Linked DNA regions of Astyanax mexicanus. The protein of the gene in region 3 interacts with the protein of the main gene of each other region in a pairwise test. Links are inferred from orthologs where the notes say so. Each region holds a gene or a part of one and is shown on either strand. Other genes may lie near its edges.

Region 1 (7,985 bases), on a different chromosome or scaffold from region 3:
GTCCTATATGCTAGTGTAAGGCACTCTTTTTCTGTTAGAGAGACCAAAAAAAAAAGTTATGAGTTAACCTGTATGATTATAAGGCAGTTTCACAGTTCTAGCTTCTCTATAAAAGTTGTCAGCAGAGGGAAGGATGAAGTGCTTTAAAATTTTCCGGAAAAAAAAAAAACGCTGCACTGACTTTGGAATTGATATAACAGAGTAGACCAACACCAGCAGACATGACTCTCCAACCCATCACTGACCATCAGTAAATTTTAAAACGCTTAAAATAGATCACTCGGTGTGTAATAAGTCTATATAATATGAGTTTCACATTTTGAACTGAATTGCTGAAATAAAGTATCTTTTTAATGAAAATATTCTATGTGAACCAGGTGACTCTCTCATGAAAACACAGAGAAAATACCAGTGTTCAAATATGTAATCAAAGGTAAATGTGCCACTTCCACTTCATAATCTAAAGTGTAAAACATATTTTGGTTTGCTTACCAAATAATCCTGCATTTGTTCCTGTATAGCTTTAATGTATTTGATATTAAATTTACTACGTAAAAATAAATTATAAAAAGAAAGAAAACACATAGAATGAGAAGCGGTGTGTCCAAACTTTTGATAGGTACTGTCAAAGTGATTTATTTTACACATAAATCGGTAATAGATTAATTTAAGCAAATAATAAATCTGCGGAGCCAGTTGGGAGTTGAAAGAGCCGGCCCTTTTTTAGTGAGCCGAGCCAAAAGAACCGACTCAGAAAAATGCCACATGTGACATGTGACAATCACTACTGCGCATGCGCTGAAAATTTTTTGTGCCTTTTTTACGTTTTCATGTGTTTTTCGAGATAAATCTGCTCATACAGTGTGTTTTACAGTCTAGACTTACTGTTATTGGTTGTTTGAGTCTCACACGAGTTTTAATGGCTATTCAAATACATAAATACACCGTATATACCCTTATAATTGCTATACTGTGTACTATACAGGCTAGTTAGCCTATATCCACATATCTTCTACCTAACCTACCAAACTTCACTTACATTAAATCATGTTTTCAACCAATCTGAATAAACTACTAGTCAATCAGATTTACCTATGAATACACATTATACACTGGGAGCACGTTTTGACAGGGTAGCAACATTGGACCCAACACCAGCAGTTATATTTGCAGATCTGCAGACCCACACACAGCTTAATGAACACTGCACAGACAGGTTACAAACTCATTCCTTCACCCCACAGCTCTACAGAAGACTCTCCCCACACACAGCTCACTCTTTAGCCTCCTCACTGACTTTAATCAGCAAACTTTACCCCAAACACAGCACAGCAGCAGCTGCAACTAGCCCCGACCACCAGAGAGGAGAAATAAAGCAGAAAACTCACAGAATTCCTCACTATTGCGCATTATACAGCGCTCACACTGCAATACAGCCCGCACACGCTCACCTGCGGCATCAAACACGCCTTTAAAACCACTAAAACAGCCGCTAAACCCACAGCTAGCCGAGCTAATGCGTTGTTTTTGAATTGTCTGGCTCTGTCCCAATTTGTGCGCCCGTGCTGTCTCCCCTCGCACACTAGAAAGGCCACGTCTACTTCGAACACTCTTTAGCTAACCTAGCTAGTGTGCTCGTTTCCCTACTTCCCCCACAGGTCGCTTAACAACTGGAAAATATCTAAACGACGGCGTTTTAGGGCCACTCTTTAAAAAAACAGTTCGTTCGAGAATAAAGTCGCAATATTACGAGGCTAAAGCCTTAACATTACAAGATTAAAGCTGTAAAGAAAATATCCAAATGTTCGCAGTAAATCAAGAGGAAATCTTCTCAATGTAAGAGATTTAAAAAAAATTAACAAATAGATAAAAAGTAAATAATAATGATATAGAAAATAATAAAATTAAATTAAGACCAATAACAAATGAATTAATAAAAACATAGAAATTATAAAGAGTTAAAACAGTCACATGCGTTCTGAAGGTAATTTGAAACTAAGAAGAGTTTCAAATTTCAAATGTGAAGAGGAGGTTGGATATAATACTATTAGGTAATAATAATAATAATAATAATAATAATAATAATAATAATAATAATAATAATAATAATAATAATAATAATAATTAGTATAGTATTAGTATAAAATCTATTTACTCATTCGTCTTCTTTTCCCTGATGGTCAGGGTTGTGGTGGGTCCAGAAACTACCCAATTCACCTTTTAACTTTACCTACATGTGCAGAAACCATTGAAATACTAAGTCATGTTCATGTACGATCTTGTTGTTTTAAGATATTATGTCATTATTTTATTATATTATATATTAAGTTGTTATTTTGAGATACATCATTATTTTGAGATACTAAGTCGTTTATATGAATGCTTTTGTTGATTTAGGATCTCACAATAACGACTTAGTACCTCATAATCATAAGATTGCAATTTACTTAATAATAAGTTTTTTTTTAAGTGGAGGAAATTAGATTTCACAAAAAAATGACAATCCTTTGAAAAAATCATTTTTTCTTTCTTTTTTTTGCTATGCTATTGCTATTTGTAATTCTATTTCAGTAGTTCAATAATAACCTGTTCCCGGGTCATTATTTAAAAATACTTGCTAATATTTGGCATAACGGCAGTCCTTTAACTTAAATAATAATGATAAATTTGAAATATATGATGTGGAAATATAAAGACAAACTGTTTTTTTAGAGATTAAGATTGAGATAGGGCCTACTGAATCAAGATTTGCATCCTGCTGCCAGAAACTGAGAAGGCCAGAAAGGGCATTTACCTGACAGGAATGTATTTCCATATTTAAACACCGAATAAAAACAGGTTTAAGTTTAAAGTTAAGGCGAAATTTCACTATTATTTTTATTTTATTTTGTTTTATAGCATGCTGAGTTTGTTATGGGCTTGATTTGAACACACTTGTAAATTGGAGCGCAGCCGGAGATCAAGCTGCGACCCTGCGAGACCCGGCTGGACTGAAGGAGGAGGAGGTGGAGACGGAGCCGCCGCTGCTGCTGAACCAAAAACACTGAGTTTATCATTAAAACCGAGCCTAAACCCGGCCTGGAGCCGATCCGGCAGCGGGACAAAGGAGTACAGACACAGAGCACACGGGCTAAAGCGGGAGGAGTCCTGTAAAACACAGCATGCCGAGCAAAAAGAAGAAATATAACGCCAGATTCCCCCCGGTGAGATTACTCCCATTCACCTGATAATGCTAATGCTAAGCTCAATGATTCTCTATGTACATGCTAACGTTAGCTTAGCACAGTTTAGCCTAGCCTAACTTAGCGGAGCTCCTGTTATCTTAACGCCCACTCTGAATGAGAGGAGTAAAACCTGTGGCTGGGTTTAACTCTGTTACCTGGTCTAGACTCGAGTCTAAGTTTAATTCTGAGTTTAAAACAATACCCAGTGTAATACCGAGAGCTGGAGAAGCCCATAGACTCAATGTAGAGCGGTTCAGCGGGTCCGGCTAATCCTACTGTACAGCTGCTCGCTGGAGAACTGAGAGTTCGGTTAGCTTAGCTTAGCTTAGCCTAGCTTAGCCTAGCTAACAGCTGCAGTCCTCAGCATTATTCAGAGGCCGTGTAGCTTTATAATTAAACAATTTACACTTTATTTTATGCAGTATTCTAAAATCTGTGGTTCAAATTGGTCAATACTAATGTAGCCATGATCCTGGATAATCTTTGTGTGTAGCCAGCCAGCTAGCTAACGCTAGTAAAGGTTTTTGCTAAGTAGCTAACATAAGCTAGCTAACATAACTTAGTTCCCTCAGTTTGTGTTGGAAAGTGAAAACTCAGCTAACCAGCTACTGTACAGACAGAACACAGATGTTTTACTTACCTATAAACACAGATACATTTAACTGACACTAACAGATATTTGGCATAAAATTGACAGACATTTGACTTAAAACCAGCAATTGTTTTTTGACATAAAATCAACAGATGTTTATGGTAAAGTTAACAGAGATATTTCGCATAAAACCAACAGGCGTTTAAGGTAACGTTTTATGTAACAAATGATATTTGACATAACATCAACAGATGTTTATAGTAAAATTAACAGAGTTATTCCACAAACTCAACAGATGTTTATGGTAAAATGAACAGAGATATTTGACACAACCAAAAATGTTTAATGAAAAATTAATAGAGAAATTTAAAATAAAATGAGCAGATATTTGATGTTTAGGTGAGAGATATTTGATGTAAAATATAGATAAGTGACACCAATATATATAACATAAAGATATAACAAATATTTGTTATAAAATTATCAGATGTTTACCATAAAATTAATAAAGATATTTGGCATAAAGCGAACAAATATTTAGTGAAAATTCAACAGAGATATTTTACATAAAATAAAAATTATTTAACAAAAAATCAGAAAAGATTTTTGGTATAAAATTTAAAGTGATTTTAAAATGAATACATTTAACATAATATTAACAGCTCTCTGGCTCTGTACATATCAGCAGGCTACTCAGCTGCTCTTATGCTGCTAACCAACTTTAGATATCAACAATATTTACATACCATTTGTATTTGTGGCATTTTTCTGCTCCATTTACTACAGAGGCCTCATTCTTCTCCACAAAGAGTGGTGTACCTTCAGTTTTTTATTCCAGTGAAGCAGAAGCACATGTGATTAGTTGTTTGAAGACTGACCAACTGATTAAACAAGAGGAACCAAGTGTGCTGCTGCTGTTTTTTTTCCATAAAAAAGGAAATCTGCAACCACAGCAGCCCTGTGTAGATAAGATTGTACATCTCTAATTTATTGATGTAATCACATTCTTTTATGAATGCTCTTAATCTAGTAGAAAATCTTTTTTGGACAGTATGCATTTAAGTACAATAGTTGCATGTCTCTCAGAGACTCAGGTGGTAGATTAGTAGTATAAGTATAAGTACTACAATAAAGTAGTATAATAAAGGAGCACGTTTGTGTTCTTTATTTTATTTAAAATACAACAAGATGTGGCTGGTAAAGGTTTTGTGTTTCAAGCACAGGAAAATATCTAAGTCTGATAGAATGTAAAGCACCAATTTGAAGTATTTCCACACTGTAAATGTTTCCACACTAAAAAAAATGACAGAAATGCATAACTAGTATTTAATATTCACTGTTACATTTTAGCTTTCAGTGTTAAGTATGTTTTTGTGTCCTGTAGTGTATTCTGTACAGTATACACTGAACCCAGCTGTACTGTATGTGGCTATTCAGTAACTACTGTTATGTAAATTACATTTTTTGTTCCCAAAATATCTGTCTAGCTTTTTCACGCTCACTATGTGTGTTTGTATTACTTTCAGGCAAGAATTAAGAAGATTATGCAGACAGATGAAGAAATAGGAAAAGTCGCTGCTGCCGTTCCCGTTATTATCTGTATCCTTTGAAAGTTCACATATTTCTGTCTTCTGTTGTACAGCAGTGTTTTAGAAATGTGTCAGTATGAGAGTGTTTGAGGTTCTTATGCAAATTGCCCTTTAAATATTGCTAATTCTTTTACTGCCCTAAATATTTCTGTAGAGTTAGATGTCCAGTGCAAAGATGGACATGCACATTTCTAATCAGATGCTGTCAGCCATAATCATAACCATACACTGAACTATCCACTGTAGGTGGTAATGCCTTCTATGTTGTATTCCTGGTTAATACTTGACTCTGTGGATTAAGGAATTTTAAATGCCCACACACTCACTCACTAGATAACACCTTACAATATGTGGGTGTTCCCAAGCTGTCCCTTGAGGTAACACTTGGATCACATGATCCATGCATTCCACTGCATCGCATAACCTGAGATTAGTTGATTTAATAGGGTTTTTTTAAGTGAATAATCACTTTCAAGATATTTTGTTATTTTGGCGTTGATTAATAACCCTCTCTACTCTGTAGTTGATGTTCTTGGTTTGGTTGGTTCTTTAACCCCTGTTCGAGCGCGGGCACTTGAGCTGTTTCTGGAGTCTCTTCTGACGAAAGCCTGTCATGTTACCCAGTCACGGAACGCCAAAACTATGACAACATCGCATTTGTGAGTAATTTTAACTTACTGATCAAACTGTGAGTAGTGTTAACATGCTGACTGGCTTTTAAGTGGGTTTGTTTTTTGCGTGTAGAAAACAGTGCATCGAACTGGAGCAGCAGTTTGACTTCCTGAAGGATCTGGTGGCTGCAGTGCCGGACATGCAAGGAGAGGGGGATGAGAATCATGCTGAGGGAGCAGAGAAGATCCCACGCAGGTAATGACACACAGTTTAGAACTGTAGTCTGAAGTAGGCTATTTTCACTATAGATCCAAACTGTGAGGAGCACATTATGTTTATATTTGGAACTTAAATAAAAAATGTAGGCACAATTACACAAAATAGAAGAGGGGGGAAAAAATGTTTTTCTTTCTTTTTTTTCTGTAGAGGAGATATATATTTTTTGCATATATTTTTTTGTTCTTTATTTTTTGTAACTTTTTAGGATCGGCTTAATTATTGCATATTTTGGCTTAAAATCCTCTAATTTGATATGTAACCAATGGATAATATAATCTCAAGTTTTACATCTTCATGACGTACAACAATTTTTATTACCTCTTTGAGATGCCATAGCTGACAGTGCTTTTTCCATTCACTTTTTCATAGTCTATATATGGCACCAAATAAATAAAAAAAAGTCTTTGCAATGGTCTGCATTGTTTTTTTTTTATATTTTAAATGGAAGCAATATGGCAAGTGCAGGGCCAGCATTTGAGAGCACATATCTCAGCATCACACAGGATGCACCTGTAGCAGTATGCTTGTAATAAATTAATAAATTTCAGTGAAGCTAAATTCTAAATAACATTATGAACACTGAGCAATACATGTAACTGAAGTACCCAAAATATGCTGTACCAAAATCACAGCTTTTACCCGTGTGGTTTTGGTCACTGCTCGTTTTTGAAGCAAATGCAACTGTAACTGCCGCTAATAGCGGATAAAACGCGCTGTTGTAGTGACGTAAGATTCTGTGGCAATGGAAGTTCACACATCACGAGTTACAGCTGTAATACTGTCCGGACGCTTAACTTCTGAGTTTAATCTTTTGCATCTCGTCATAATTACGTTCAGTTTTAGCTGACGTCTATAAAATTATTTTTTGTCACTTGTGAACTGATTCAGAACGTCACTGTTCGAATCGAGATGCGTCTAAAGAATCAAAAATTTCCCCCACCCCTAGAAATAACTGTGTTTTGCAGAGGTCGCAAGCCTGGCTCAGGGCGCAAGAACGGAGGAGCAGGAGCCAAGGGTAAAGACAAGAAGCTGTCAGGCACAGAGTCTGAACAAGAGGTAAGGGTTCATCAGTGCTGCGTGTTTACCTGTCGATTTACTTCAGCATCTCTCTGTACTGAAGTACAGATCAGAAGATTTTTGCATTTATATATTTTTAAAATAAATGTATATATATTATATTATATAATCTGTTATTACATGTTGTCCCCTTTGCTTGTGCTGCAAGCTGTTGATTTAGGGTCTAGTTATGGCCCTGGGCTACATTTAGAAGGGGAACATTTTCATGTGTTTATGCTTACGCAATGTAAAATTATGTCAAATATTGCAATGATAATGTTTTACAGAATTCAGGCTGTAAAACAGGCACATAATTATTTCAGTTATTTAGTTCTCTTTTGTAGTTTTTGTTTGCTTAAAGGTTTCATTCCATTGTTTTTTTCGTTCATTTTAAAATGTCTAGTTGTGTTCTTTAGTATGAATGAATGCCATGTGAACTCTTTTTTGTGAAAAAGGTAAAGTATAGTGCTGCTTTAATCCAGTGGAGGAGTGGGCGCGGAGAAACGGTTTTGGCTCTTGCTCATGAATATTCATACATGCAAAAATATCGCCTCTGCGGCAACAGGAGGTGGACAACAGTTAGAAACACTTTAAAATAAAGACATTTTAACACAGTCTTTGCAATGTCATATG
Region 2 (7,516 bases), on a different chromosome or scaffold from region 3:
CTCTTTTGCTTCTGCTTCAGATTTTTGCTTCTGAGTTTTGGCACAGTTTTCACGGGTGGGCGGGGCTTAGAAGAAGGGGTTCCCCTTGAATCTCCATTGGTCAGCTGGTTCTGGACTGGCGGGTTCCCTGAACCCTCGTCTGAGACTGACCACGCCCCCAAACACCCGCCAGCTTCAAGCGTCCTTCCAAACACGGAGTGAACAGCAGCTTCCAGCAAACAGCAACAGATACTTTTACAATTAAATATTATACAAACGTTATGTTTAATGTTATATTATGTTATATTATTCTCTGTTTCACTCCATTTAAAAGCTCACATTAGCAAGATGTGCTAAATATTCACGCGCAAATTATGATAGTTACCTAGTCAATGAGCTAGTGAGTTAGCTAATTACCTAATCAGTGAACTAGTCAGTTATCTTAGTCAATGAGCTAGTGAGTTAGCTAGTTACCTACTCAGTGAGCTAGTGAGCAACCTAGCCAGCAAACTAGTGAGTTATCTAGCCAGTGAACTAGTGAGTTAGTTACCTACTCAGTGAGCTAGTGAATTACTTAGTCAGTGAACTAGTGAGTTACCTACTCAGTGAGCTAATGAGTTAGCAGGTTACTTACTCAGTGAGCAAGTGAGTTACCTAGTCAGTGAACCAGTGAGTTACATAGTAAGTGTGCTACTGAGTTAGCTACTTACCTACTCAATGAGCTAATGAATTAGAATGCTACCTAGTCAGTGAACTAGTGAGTTACATAGTCAGAGAACTAGTGAGTTAGCTAGTCAGTGAACTAGTGAGTTACATAGTCAGAGAACTAGTGAGTTAGCTAGTCAGAGAACTAGTGAGTTAGCTAGTCAGTGAACTAGTGAGTTACCTAGTCAGTGAGCTAGTGAGTTACCTAGTCATTGAGCTAGTGAGTTAGGTAGTTACCTACTTTCAGCATGAATATTTAGCAATCTCGCTAATGTGACTTGTGAACATAACGTTTGTATAATATTTAATTGTAAAAGTATCTGCTGCTGTTGCTGTTTGCTGGAAGCTGCTGTTCACTCCGTGTTTGGAAGGACGCTTGAAGCTGGCGGGGTGTTTGGGGGCGTGGTCAGTCTCAGACGAGGGTTCAGGGAACCCGCCAGTCCAGAACCAGCTGACCAATGGAGATTCAAGGGGAACCCCTTCTTCTAAGCCCCGCCCACCCGTGAAAACTGTGCCAAAACTCAGAAGCAAAAATCTGAAGCAGAAGCAAAAGAGGGATTCCAGAAGCAAAAGTCTTTAACAGAAAAATCCAAAAAAATCCACAGAAAATTCACAAAAACACAAAAATAAAAGCAAAGACCAAACTGAAATAATTTTCAAATAACTGCAAAGGATAATAAAATAACCAAGTATATTTAAAAATATATATTTGCTATATATTTTTTCTCTTTTGAATTTGTAACATATAATTTTTGCTTTTGATTCCTAACATTTTGATTGCGGATTTTATTTTTTTGTGTAAAACTTTTGGCACAAAATTCACTCCATACTAAGCTGCATGACTGGGATTTTGCCGCTGTATATGCTATTGGCCCAAAAAATCCGTCCAGCCAATCAGTGTAGAATGTCGTTTCCCCACGTAATAATTAATTTGCATAAAGTAAAAAAAAAATCACAAGGCAATTTGTCGCTTGTCCTCCAATAGGAAAGGAATGAATAATGATTACTATTACAAAATTAATTATAGATATCTGTAACTGTGTGTAGTGTAGTGTTTGTGTGTGTGTGTGTGTATATATATATATATATTTAGTGTGTAAATATAGTGTGTGTGTAGCATATAGTGTGTATATATAGTGTGTATGTATATTGTGTGTGTAGCGTATAGTGTGTGTAGTGTAGTGTGCATATAGTGAATTTATAGTGTGTATGTATATACTGTGTATATATGTAGTGTATATATATATATGTTGTATATATGTATATATATATATATATATATTCGTGTATGTATATAGTGTGTGTAGTGTATAGTGTATATATATTATATATATATATATATATATATATATATATATATATATATATATATATATATATATATATATATATATACATTAGTGTATACAGTGTATGTATATAGTGTATATATTGTTTGTATATATAGTGTGTGTGTATATAGTGTGTATATATATATATATATATATATATATATATATATATATATATATATATATATATATATAGTGTATATGTAGCAACCAGAAGAAGCTGAAACGCTGTTCTCGTGTGAAGCTGAAATCTCGCGTCATCTCTACAAACTACAAACAGATCCTGTCTGCGTTTCACTGGATCCCGGTCTAATAAAACATTTCCAGCTTTAAATCCACTGATTAACCTCTTTAATATCATAATTCGCACTGATTACAGAAACATCTCTCTATAAATCACCATTTAATCTGCGCTTTTATGCTGAAAATCATGAAAATCATTCACAATATGTTGAAACACAGCGGCGGCGGAGCTCAGGTCTCTGTTTATTTAAGAGAATAAGGTTAGAAATCTGATATTCGGCTTTTTTCCCTAATTTGTTTTTTAAAAACCACAAATAAACAAAATAAAACACAGATAGACCCAGAATCAGCTCTCTAACGTTATATCCATATTTATTTATATCTACCCTCCTGTTCAGGTGCAGCAGGTGCAGGGCTGTTTTTATTGGCCTGATAAATAAATATATCATAATAAAAGCAGGAAAAACAGATATTTCGCGTTAAACAGTGAGATAAACAGCAGATCTCGCTTTTATCAGCAGGTATCTGTGTTTTTAACTGAGGTTTAGTGTCTCAGACCCTCATCCTTGATGTTGCGGATAGCGATCTGCCTCCATCTGGAAGCGTTCAGGCGCTGCTCGCCCAGTAAAACCAGTAAATCCAGTATAAATGAGGGAATAAAGCGCTGACCTGGGTTTTAGTGGTGAGCTGAATGACCGCTTTCCTGAATTTGAGTTTGGAGTCGGTGTTTCCCATGTTTTCAGCCCGTGTGTTTTATTATGAGGAGATCCTTCACTAATCCTCCTCCTCCTCCCCGCGCTGTTACTGTTACTGCCGCCGCTGCTGCTGCTGCGCCACAGATCCTCCACCCACAGACACCGAGATCACCCACTTCACTGTGTGCTGTGAGCGGGAGCGACCACTAGAGGGCGCTCCAGAGTGAGGACAAAATGAATGGGTTCAAATGGAGCGATTGAGAAAAATAATTTAAGCAGTTTATTAATGTTTATTAATTTTTAGACTAAAAATATTCTTATTATATTACTTCTAACACAGAACAAAATCATACGACGGCATTTTAGGGACACTCTTAAAAAAATTAAAATAACAGTTAATCAAAAATAAAGTTGCAATATTACAAGATTCAAAGTCAAAGTCAAAGTCAAAGTGGTTTTTATTGTCATTTCAGCTATATACAGAGTACACAGTGAAACGAAACAACGTTCCTCCAGGGACCATGGTGCACATAAACACAGTGTAGACAGAACAATAGTGCAACAGTACAAAAGTGCAGACAGACAATACAACACCATACAGACAAAGAATAATAAATAACAAGACAGTGTGCAAATTATGCAGTGTGCAATAGAGTCCAGTGAGGTAGTAGGGTTTTTAGTGCTTTCCATTTTCTGGGGTAAGTGGGGTAAGAGTGTGTGTGCATGTACAGAAAAAACATCAGTTCAGTCTCTGCAGTTAAGGAGTCTGATGGCTTGGGGGTAGAAGCTGTTGCAGAATCTGGTCGTGCTGGACCGGATGCTGCGGTACCTTCTTCCCGAAGGCAGGAGGGAGAACAGTTCGTGTGAGGGATGGGTGGGGTCATTCACAATGCTGGTTGCTTTGCGGATGCTGCGGGTGGTGTAAATGTCCGTGATTGAGGGGAGAGAGACGCCGATGATCCTCTCAGCTGTCCTCACAATACGCTGGAGGGTCTTGCGGTCAGAGACGGTGCAGGTCCCAAACCAGGCAGTGATGCAGCTGCTCAGGATGCTCTCAATGGTCCCTCTATAGAAGAGTGTGAGGATGGGTGGAGGGAGACGGGCCTTTCTCAGCTTCCGGAGGAAGTAGAGACGCTGCTGGGCTGCTGGGCTGGAAGATTAAAGTTCTAATATTAAAAGTATAAAATTGTACTAATACGAGATTAAAGTCTTAATATTACAAGAAAAAAGTCAAGTAGTTTTATTGTCAATACTCCATATATACAGGACATACACAACATTGAAATTATGTTACTCTCCTTCCCAAAAGCTACAGCACAGATAAGTACAGAAAATAAGGTCATAAATATAAAAGAACGAGAGACACAAAATAAACGATACAACAATGACACAGGTATAGACATACATGGAAAAAAGACACAAGACAATAGTGCAATAGTGATGGGGTGGGGGGACGGGAGAGGGAATGACAGTACAAGTATAAACAGAAACCATATAACAGTAGTGTAAACATAAAGGTAAAATAGCTTAAGGCTGGTAAAGTGAATGAGTGCATACAGTTCAGTTCTAAGCTGATTTAAAGCATTTTAAGGTAGTTTATGTGCAATTCTGACACAATTTGTAAATTTGTGTGTATTGTTTTTTAATAAATAGTGAAATATAATAGTGTAAAAGTGATTTTGCATTTCATTTGGCGTATTTTGAATGTTAGTGTGGAAAAGCAATGCATCTTGTAGATTGCATTTACAATTTTCCAGGATAGTGATAGCAAACAGACATCCAATCAACGGTCAACTTCAATTTCACTTCATATTCTTATAGCTTGACATTGATTTTTAGTCAAAGTCTTTTTTGTTGTTTCAAGGTTGTTGTTTTTTCATTGTCAACATTAAATGATGTAATGATAAAAAAAATCTATGTTTATTAAATGTGCCATGCTATCAGCACTGCATCAGCATTAGCTCACCAACCAATCAGCTCATAGTAACAGTAATGCAGGGCCTTTACCATGTAAGTCCCATTTACTGTAAAAACTAAAATAAACAGCTACGTTTCCTTGCTTTTATGGCTAAATACATAATTATACTTTCTAAAATGTACTATTTAAATTTTTTTTTTTTTTTCAAATTTTTTGCCGTAGCTCGGTGGTAAAAAACGGTGGCTATAGGAAGTGGTCAGTCTCTGTATAAACCAGCTCTGCGGCTGCGCTGTGTGTCATCTGCGGAGGCGGTGATAAAGCCACAGAGCGTATAAACAGATATCGAGAATTTTTATTTAACATTAATTTTTATTTAGGTTTTTTTTTTATTTAGACCACCTGAGAGAGGTTCAGAGTTAAAAATTAAATATTCATTCATTTTTATACTTAAAGTATTCTTATTTCTTCAACACAGAGTACGTTTTAATGCTACATACATGATTTTAACACTTTAAAAATCCAGTTATAAACCTTTAAAAATGTGCTCTTGCTGCAAGAACATTTAATCAATGAAAGTTATTTTTTTGCAGTTTATGCTCCCAGACTGTGGAATGATCTCCCTACTGATCAGAAATGCACAGAACAGGCAATTTATTCTCTTTCAACTAGTTTAGTTGAAATATGGAAGCCCATTTCCGCCACCTGAAGAAAAAAAAAACGTCCTCAACTAAGTCATAATTATGAGATACTAAGTCTTAATTATGAGATAGTAAGTCATAATTATGAGATACTAAGTCATAATTATGAGATGACTTTTTATCTCATAAATATTACTTACTATCTCATAATTATGACTTTTTTATCTCATAATTATGACTTACTATCTCATAATTATGACTTACTATCTCATAATTATGACTTACTATCCCATAATTATGACTTTTCTATCTCATAATTATGACTTACTATCCCATAATTATGACTTTTCTATCTCATAATTATGACTTACTATCTCATAATTATGACTTTTTTATCTCATAATTATGACTTACTATCTCATAATTATGACTTAGTATCTCATAATTATGACTTACTATCTCATAATTATGACTTACTATCTCATAATTATGACTTACTATCCCATAATTATGACTTTTCTATCTCATAATTATGACTTAGTTGAGGACGTTTTTTTTTCTTCAGGTGGCGGAAATGGGCTTCCATAATATGAAAAGTCTAGTGGGTCATAATAAAAAATGGTACAGTAATATTGATTGTTCTTTAGGCAACTAAAGAGGTTACTTACTTACTTCATTTTTAGATCTCTAATGCACTGAAACTCCAATGTCAATGATCTAAAATGTCAGATACATTTGATTTATCTGTGTTTTTTTTTTACGCAGAATTACTGTTAGTATTGCAGTGTAAAAAGGGACATTTAAATTATTATAATGTTATTACTGCATCAGCATCAGCCCACCAACCAATCAGCGCACAGTAGCAGCAACGCTAATGTTTATACTAATTAAACCCTTTTACTGTGAAAAACAGAAACGCACAGCTAAGGATTCTTTGCTTTTATTAGCGACATATCTTATTATAATTTCCGAAATTAAAGGAATAACCTGGACTATCAGCTGTATACTTTATTTAATTTGTGTTTTTAGCCGTTTAGCTTCATTCACCCCCATTCATTTTGGACCCGCTCGCGCGCTCCCTCTAGCGGTCAGCTGTATTATTTTATTATAATGGAGGAGATAAAAGTAGGAAGTCTCGCCATAAATTTGATAAGAGCCTTAACTGCAAACTTCCGGGTTCCTCGAGCTCCACGCTGTTACCAAGAGCTACGGCCACTTTAGTTTAAAACCTCGTATTTACAAACGTAGCTAAAATCCTAAAGCACAATTTAACACAATTTGTTAGAAAGATAATAATAACTGGAGGCCAAATATTGGTATAGAAGAAAAATAAAAAAGGGAGAAAAAAATAAAAGTATAAATATCCACTGTTTTAACAGCTTTTTAGTTTTAAGAGAGAATATTAGGTGACTAACTTATGTATTGTTTGGTTTTATAGTTTTTATTTTTCAAAAACAATAATTTCAGGTTTTGAATGAGAAAATTAACAATTGTAAATGTATGACTTTTATGATAATCAAAGCCAAACAACACATTAACTAAACAGAGACCAAACTCAGCGTCAACATTATCAATAATAAATCTACACAATCTTTCCAGAAATTAGTTTAGAGGTACAGTATCAAAATAAGATAGATAGATTTTTTACAAAAGATTATTCTTAAATTAGATGTTTTTCTGTTTCTTTATGGTCATTAATTTACAGAAAAGCAAGCTTTATAATTTTCTGGCTACAACCTAATTATCTTGTTCCCACACTTTAATTATCTTGTTCATACACCTTAATGTTCTTGTTCCCATGCATAAAGATCTCATTCCCACGCCTTAATAAGTCAGAACTGTATGAACTTTTTCATTTAACCAGCCTTGAGCTTTAATACTAATTTAATAATGATAGATAGATAGATAGATAGATAGATAGATAGATAGATAGATAGATAGATAGATAGATAGATAGATAACTGTCTAGCAGTGCCCCTGTTGTGGACCGCCCCCTGGCTGCTGTAG
Region 3 (7,540 bases):
GTTACACATAACAAATATCCTTCACAGTAAACAGCTACATTAATACAATATAATATATAATAAAATAATTTAAACAAATAAAATATATCACACCCCTAATTCACATTATGACAAAAAGTGAAAAAACACTATTATAGGATATTTAATTATTATAACTTTTAATGGTTACCTAACATCTCTCATTTTTTATATTTTCAGTCCAAAAATTTGAAACAAAAAATTTAAAACAAATCGAATTTATTAACCAACAAGACCAATTCAAACAATTTTGACTAAATCCAACACATTTAAAAAGAATAGTAACTGTGAGGGAGAACATACAGCCCATCACTCTTTCACTGTGTTTCATATAAGCAGATGAATGTCACAATAATTATGATATTTACCTTAAAATCTTAAAATATATGGACATGACCTCAGTCACTATTCTGACCTCATTATTGTAGGAAGATTTCATCGTTTCAGTGTTAAAATTTCAGTAAACTGTACACAGTAGTGATCATTTACTGACCTGAATATTTTTATGTCTTCCCCAGTTCTAAGAAAAAGACTGGCAGCCATCTTCAGTGCCTGTATTCTGTCCAAACGCTGCTCCAGTGACTGTCATCATGAGAACAAAAAGGTAGGCAGGTGTTTCACCAGCCTGACTGAAAATCTATTTTTATTGTGGTTTGAAAAGTTAAAATGAATCACTTTTTGCTTTTTTTGTTTTTAATTAATAGAAAATGATTAGAAATTTAGCCCATATTTTACAGTAGCTCTGTGTATGTGTCTGACTGTATTATGATTTTAATTTGTCTGCAGGTTGTGTGGGTGTATGCCACAAACCTGTTCTTCAGTGCATTGTCCATTTTTCACCTGACATATCTGGGCTCTCTCTTTGACATGGATGCCGAGGATGAGAAGGTTCAGGTTATTGTTTTTTTGTATTATTGTTAATCACTGTAATGAGAAGGCGTTACACAATACAATCCAGTGTTGCTTATTTAAATGGGACAATTTATGACCTCTAAGTAGGGATGTTTCAAACCGGTTATTTTGCCCCATGATCTGATCTGAGTTTTTACATGCTTAGTATTGGCAGATATCTCACTGTTCTGTGTTTGTGTGTATATGACAGCTCCCTGCTCCATTAAAACACTACAGTTTTTGGTATTTTAATATATAAATTTATTTTTATAGTTTCAGATGTTATGTGTTCGTGCTCTACTGTATTATAGTTCCACACTGTGCTCTCTAACTAAACTCTTACTTACCTCCTGAAAACTTTCCACAGTGCTGCAGGTTGGCAGTCACGCCAGGTAATGGTGCCTTGAGGACACCAGATGGCACATTGATGGCGCTGTCATTAAGACAAAGACTCGGATAGATAAACAGCTCTAGAAAAAAAATAAGAGACCACTTAAAAATGATGAGTTTCTTTGATTTTACCAAATTGAAAACCTCTGAGAAAAGCCACCAAATTGAAAGCCATCAAACCAAGCTGAACTGCTTGAATTTTTGCACAATTCTTGCAGTTTTCCAAAAGTATGTAAGACTGGTGGAGGAGAACATGCCAAGATGCATAAAAACTGTGAATAAAAAACTCTAGAACTTTATGAATATGAACTTGTTTCTTTGCATTATGTGAGGTCTGAAAGCTTTGCATCTTTTTTGTTATTTCAGTCATTTCTCATTTTCTGCAAATAAATGTTCTAAATTACAATAGTTTTGTTTGAATTTTGGAATAAATGTTGTCTGTTGTTTATAGAATAAAACAACAATATTCATTTTACACAAACATATACCTATACGTAGCAAAAATCTGAGAATCTGATTCAGAAACTGAAGTGCTCTCATTTTTTTCATAGCTGTAGATTAAAATAACATACACCTAATCAATTAAAAACATGCCTGCATCAGACCTGATCCCAATTCACTGGATCAGATCAAAATATTCATAGATATCATATTGTGTAAGTAATTTATCTTTTGTGTATCTACTCTTTGTCTTCCAGGGTTACATGGCAAGTCACACCATTCAAAAATGGTCAGAACTGAACTGGGCCAGCCACTGGGTGATGTTGGGATGTTGGGTCTTCTATTGGCTCATTTGAAGCTGGATGTGAAACTATGGATCAAGCTGAGGACCTTTTACACTCCTTGGATTGAGATCTTATCGGACTCAAAGCAAAAGCATATCTTCAGCATATCTACAGACTGTTTATACAGTGATCAAGCATTGCAGTTCCATCATTCCTGCTTTCACACCTTATACTGACACTGTTCTACAGATCTGTAATCGTAACTACATTCCTCCATGTACTGTATGTGTTAGACCTGAGAAAATCTAGGTGAACATGTTGTTCTAGTTTTTGTTACTTTTTTATACATTACCAAAATAACAATAAAGATATTTATTGTTTTCTAAGAAAATGTGATACAGTTTGTCTGTTCATCTCTTGTGTATTAGTGGCATCTCTCTTTCCATTATATATATAATAAATAAATAATCATTTATTCAAAAGCCATGATAAAAAATAGACATCCCCAGACCAACACATTATTGTTATTAAATAAATAACAATACACAAATGTGTATTCATTATTTTATACATATAGCATGCATATAATCAAAGTGTACATTAACTGTACACTACATTTTCAAGTCAAGTCAAGTAGTTTTATTGTCAATACTGCATATGTACAGGACATACAGAGAATTGAAATGACGTTACTCTCCTTCCCAATTTTACAGCAAGTACAGATAATAGATATAATAAAGGAGGATGGGAGACACTATGTGTACAATACAGCAGGGACACAAATAGACATACATGAGACAAAAACAAGGTGCAGTGGTGTGGGGGAGGAATAGATATATAAATATAAGTAAATAAGTAAAAATAGATATATAATTATAATATAAAAGAGTGGGAGACACTATATGTTCAATACAGCAAGACACAATAAACATACGTAAGACAATAGTGCAATATTGATGGTGATTGAGATGGAATGACAGTATAAATAGTAAATAACAGTGGTGCAAATAGGGTATATGGTATATAGCTTAAATTGTGATGCATTTTGGGTGTTTGATAGTGAACTATATAGGGAATAAAACATACTGTTGATATTTTAACCAACACTACACAATGGCTGATATATTGCACTATTTCTGTAATAAGGACCAATTTAGAATGCAGATTTGTCACTGCGGTTTTTGTTTGGAGATTTTATTCTAATAAAAGAAATAAACAGTCTTTTAATATTGGATAGACAGACAGCCCATGTCTCTTCTCTCATCTCAATCATGTTAGACAGGTACAAAAAGAAGAGAAAAAAGAGGAGATTTATGAGGGATAGAAATAGAAAAAAAGATGTCCCAGCCCAATTGGGACCTCAAGATGGTTTGTTATGCGCCTGAAATAAAGAGATGTTGAAGTTTAAGAATATACCAGTTCTGCTCTGCTAAATTTCAAATTCAAAATTTGAATAGCGAAAAGTGATGCATGAGATTCATTTAGATCGATTCATTTATCACAGTGCATTTTAGAAGAGTTTTAAGAATATATAAATTATGAATTAATTTATTTACTGCTCTGCTGAAGTTCATTTTCAAAAATTTAATAGCAAAAAGTGATGCATAAGATTAATTTAGATATATTAATTAATCACAGTGCATTTAAGACGAATTTTAAGAATATGCCAGTTATGGGGCTCCGAGTGGTCCAGCGGGCTAAGTGCTGCCACTATGATCAGGAGATTGCTGGTTTGAATCCTGCTCATGTAGCTTGCCATCAGCTTCCAGAGCCCCGAGAGAGCACAATTGGCCTTGCTCTCTCTGGGTAGGTAGATGGCGCTCTCTCCCCTCATCACTCCAAAGGGTGATGTCGATCAGCACAAGGCGTCTGTGAGCTGATGTATTACAACTGAGTGGCTGTGCTTTCGTCTGAGTGCGCTGTGATGCTACTCAGCAATGCTGCATGAAAAAGACGCAGTGGCTGACTGCACAAGTGTCTTCACCCTCCTGGTGTTGGGGCATCACTAGTGATAGGGGGAGTCCTAATGAGTGGGTCCTAATTTCCGTAAAGAAAATGGTAAAAAAAAAAAAAAAAAAAAAAAATTGAAATGAAATAAACAAAATATGTCAGTTATGAATTTGTTGATTTATTGCTCTGCTAATTACCTTTCATAGCAAAAAGTGATACGTGCGATTAATTTAAATTAGATTAATTAATCGCAGAGCATGTGCTTAATTAGCTAATCTTTTCTTTAATCGTTTGATTAAAAGCACTAGTAACAAGTCTATTCATTTATTTATATATTTTTAAACGATGTGAGTGTAAGTATTTGAGTGTGAGTGTAAATTTAAAAGAAAGTATAAAAATAAAATGTAAAAAATAAAACCACGTTTTTTTTTCAATCAAATCTCGTTCTCTCCTCTCCTGCGCGCTTGTGAAATATCGCGATATCTCCCCTTCTTCTCACTACGTAATGTGCCGTGCTGCTTATGGCGGCGCTGGTGACAGTGCTGAAAGCTGTTGGGGTGAGTTTTTCCTCTTTTGTTTGGGTGATACGCAGTTTTAAGACCGCAGGGTGAAGGTAGAGGTGTGTGTGCGCTTTGTGTTTTAGGCTGGGCGGCTGTAGTGTCGTGTTTACGGTGTAAATGTTGTTATTTCCAGGGACGGGAAGGCCTGGGTGGGGGCCGCAGACCTCACCGCTCGTTTCGGCGCTGCTAGGCTGTTAGCTAGCGGGCTAAATAGCTAAATATACCGGTTAATAAATCACAGCGGAGGCGGAGTCTGCTTTAATTAGATCAACGTTTGCCTTATACTTAAAGAACTGGCAGAGAACTGTGTTTTAGACTGGCTTTTTTGTTCTAAAAGAAGTCGCATTATTGTCCTGGAAGTAGAGGTGTGAGGTGCAGACCCAGTAGATAAAAATCCACTCCAGGATTTTGTTCCCACAGTTCTGCTGCAGATCACACAGTAGGGCCGTATAGGCAGTTGAAGCAAAATCCTGGAGTGGATTTTTACTTTCTTAACCTGGATTACCCACTTCTACCTCTAACTTCACCGTTTTGTGTTTCAACGTGGCTCTGTGCTGGTTAGCTAAGTGGCTGGCTAGCTAACACACGTTAGCACCACTAGTTTCAAAGCCTTTTCTTTGTTGTCCGACATTTTTAAGCTATATTTTAACCCTCGGCGACACACATACAGATATACAAACACACTCACATGTACATATACACACACATACATATATAAACGCACAAACACGCAGACATGCAACGAACAGCCAACATAGATCCCTAAAAACAGGCGTGTTTATTTTTATATGGCAGCTAAACAAGTTTTAGCCTCAAATGTTTTTGGCCACAGCAGTGGAAAATCAGCTTTTACTAGTAAAATGTCTAAATATAGATCAAATAGATAATAGCTAAAGATAAAGCTATAGATAGATAGCTTATAGATTCTATAAGCTACTGACAACATTTCTCCCAATTAAGAAAAAAAGAATGTAATTTAGAGTATTTATTTGTGGAATAAAAAAAGAAAAAGATGCAGAGCATTCAGACCTCAAATAATGCAAAGAAAACAAGTTCATATTCATAAAGTTAAGATTTCAGAAATCAATATTTGGTGGATTATCCCTTGTTTTTAATCACAGTTTTCATGCATCTTGGTATGTTCTTACACACTGCTTTTGGGTAACTTTATGCCACTCCTGGTGCAAAAATTCAAGCAGTTCAGCTTGGTACAGATTGTTTTTAATTTGGTAAAATCAAAGACTCGTAATTTTAAGTGGCCTTTTTTCCGGAGTCGACTAAGTGTGTTTTGTAACAGTACCACATTACACATAGTGGACAATGGGCTAACTCACACTATTTACACTCAATTTGGTCTGTCTCTAAATGTTACATAATTACTAACTAAAAATCAGTACCTTTTACGTTTAAACAACATCTGAACATTTAAATGGCTTTTAAATCTCATGTTCAGCTGTTTTTGTTTTCAGCAATGGAGGAAATTAAATGTCCTTTGACAAATTGCTTGACTACCAAAATAATAATTAATTCCAGCCTATATATATCTATAATGAACCTACAGTTTTTACCATTGAAAACTTCAGTAACAAATGTCTTCAATTGGAAAATGAAATTCCAGAAATCTGGAATCTGAAATTTCACTGAATAACATCAGCAAAGCCCCACTTTTAAGGTATAGCTATTGTGAGCTGTGCATTAGAAGTACTATAAAAGAATTTAAAACAATAAAACTAAAAGAGAAGTAAAATGAGTAAATGATGTGCCAAGACAAATCTGAGCGAGGATTTCAGTGACTCTGGAACAACATTAATAAATACGAGCTGACTGCAACAAACTAAAATGCTCTTTTTGCTAAATCGTAATTTCACCTGGATGTTACAGATATTTTAATAAGATATGCATATATTTTATGCACTGCACAAGTGTTCTAGGCAACTGAAACTAGGCTTTAAATCCCAAATGTTTCATATCATAAGAGCTGCTTAAATTTGAAACTTGTGCTTAGCACTGCAGATTTTACTGTTTTTAGAAATATCTGGATGTGTGGATGGGCCTGAACAAATATCCTGTCCTTGTATCATTTGTAAAAACTGCACTACTTTTACAGATCTGATTCAGAACACTGGAGTAACAAAAAAATTGGACTCCTAAGTCAGAACTTGGGAATGATTAACATTAAACTCCGGACATGAACATTAGTTGTTAGGACATTTGGCAGGCTGATGTTGGTTTAATTCGTAACTAATAACTGTAATTAACTACAAAAGAATTGGCCTTTAGCTTCTTAGCCAGACACGCATTGTTTTGTCTATTTGTGCTGTTTTGAAAAGGAAGTCAAGGCCTAAAGTCAGTGAAACTGGAAATTTATAGAAGGATTTATTAATAGCAGCACAATTTCAGTTATTCACTAGTGAAGACCCGAGTGCTGTTCAGGGAAGGGCAGTGCAGGAACGCGCTGCAGCTGTAGTCAGAGGAGCGCGTGCTTGTTTTTCCTCGAGCCTTGACTGTTTGTGGCCCGGGCGCACTGTAACTGCACAGCGCGTGCTTTTCAGCTGTGTGTGACGCAGCCAATAACAGGGGCTTCGGAGTAGTCGGTCACAGCTGAAGAGCATGCGCTGTGCAGTTAATGTGTTGAAACGTGAGTAGCTTGATCACCACAGTGAAATTTTGGGTTTCTTAAATTCTGTCAACTGATCTCTTTACTCCAGGTAATAACTCGCAATGTTGATTTTTAAATAGTTTGCCTTTGGGTGAGTAGGCACACTGTTGGAATAAGGTTGTGGATAACACCATCCCCATTACAAACAGACAAGTTCTCAATTCCCTGATCAGGCAGCATAGCAGGGTTCACCAAAAATGCCATCTGTACACACTAACCTTTTCTGCCTCAAAGCCAGCCTGTTTAAACATAGAAAGCCCACAAGTAAAGTTTTTTTATGTATTTTAAATGTTTGTGAAATGTTACTACTTGTAAGTTTGCACTAAAGACTAAATTTACTTAAACAC

The links.
Region 1: the proteins of csde1 (region 3) and c25h11orf68 interact in a two-hybrid assay, tested with the Homo sapiens proteins (2 studies listed by BioGRID and IntAct). The link is inferred for Astyanax mexicanus from reciprocal best matches to the Homo sapiens genes CSDE1 and C11orf68.
Region 2: the proteins of csde1 (region 3) and hid1a interact in binary tests that used the Homo sapiens proteins (3 or more experiments, as listed by UniProt). The two-hybrid records come from large-scale screens. The link is inferred for Astyanax mexicanus from reciprocal best matches to the Homo sapiens genes CSDE1 and HID1.

The regions. Positions count from the first base shown.
Region 1 is NC_064432.1:18,621,068-18,629,052, reverse strand, and holds the start of c25h11orf68 (UPF0696 protein C11orf68 homolog), read right to left. Parts: upstream 3,022-7,985; 5' UTR 2,935-3,021; intron 1,571-2,934; exon of another isoform or gene 1,389-1,570; intron 1,374-1,388; exon of another isoform or gene 493-1,373; intron 32-492; 5' UTR 1-31. Other genes in the region: drap1 (dr1-associated corepressor), read left to right, coding at 3,162-3,203, 5,343-5,415, 5,971-6,064, 6,150-6,272, 7,262-7,352.
Region 2 is NC_064426.1:43,208,205-43,215,720, forward strand, and holds the start of hid1a (protein HID1), read right to left. Parts: upstream 3,083-7,516; 5' UTR 2,994-3,082; coding exon 2,928-2,993; intron 1-2,927. UniProt on the Homo sapiens protein: May play an important role in the development of cancers in a broad range of tissues.
Region 3 is NC_064419.1:39,190,500-39,198,039, reverse strand, and holds the start of csde1 (cold shock domain-containing protein E1), read left to right. Parts: upstream 1-4,451; 5' UTR 4,452-4,531; intron 4,532-7,540. Other genes in the region: porcnl (porcupine O-acyltransferase like), read left to right, coding at 537-622, 805-912, 1,998-2,096. UniProt on the Homo sapiens protein: RNA-binding protein involved in translationally coupled mRNA turnover.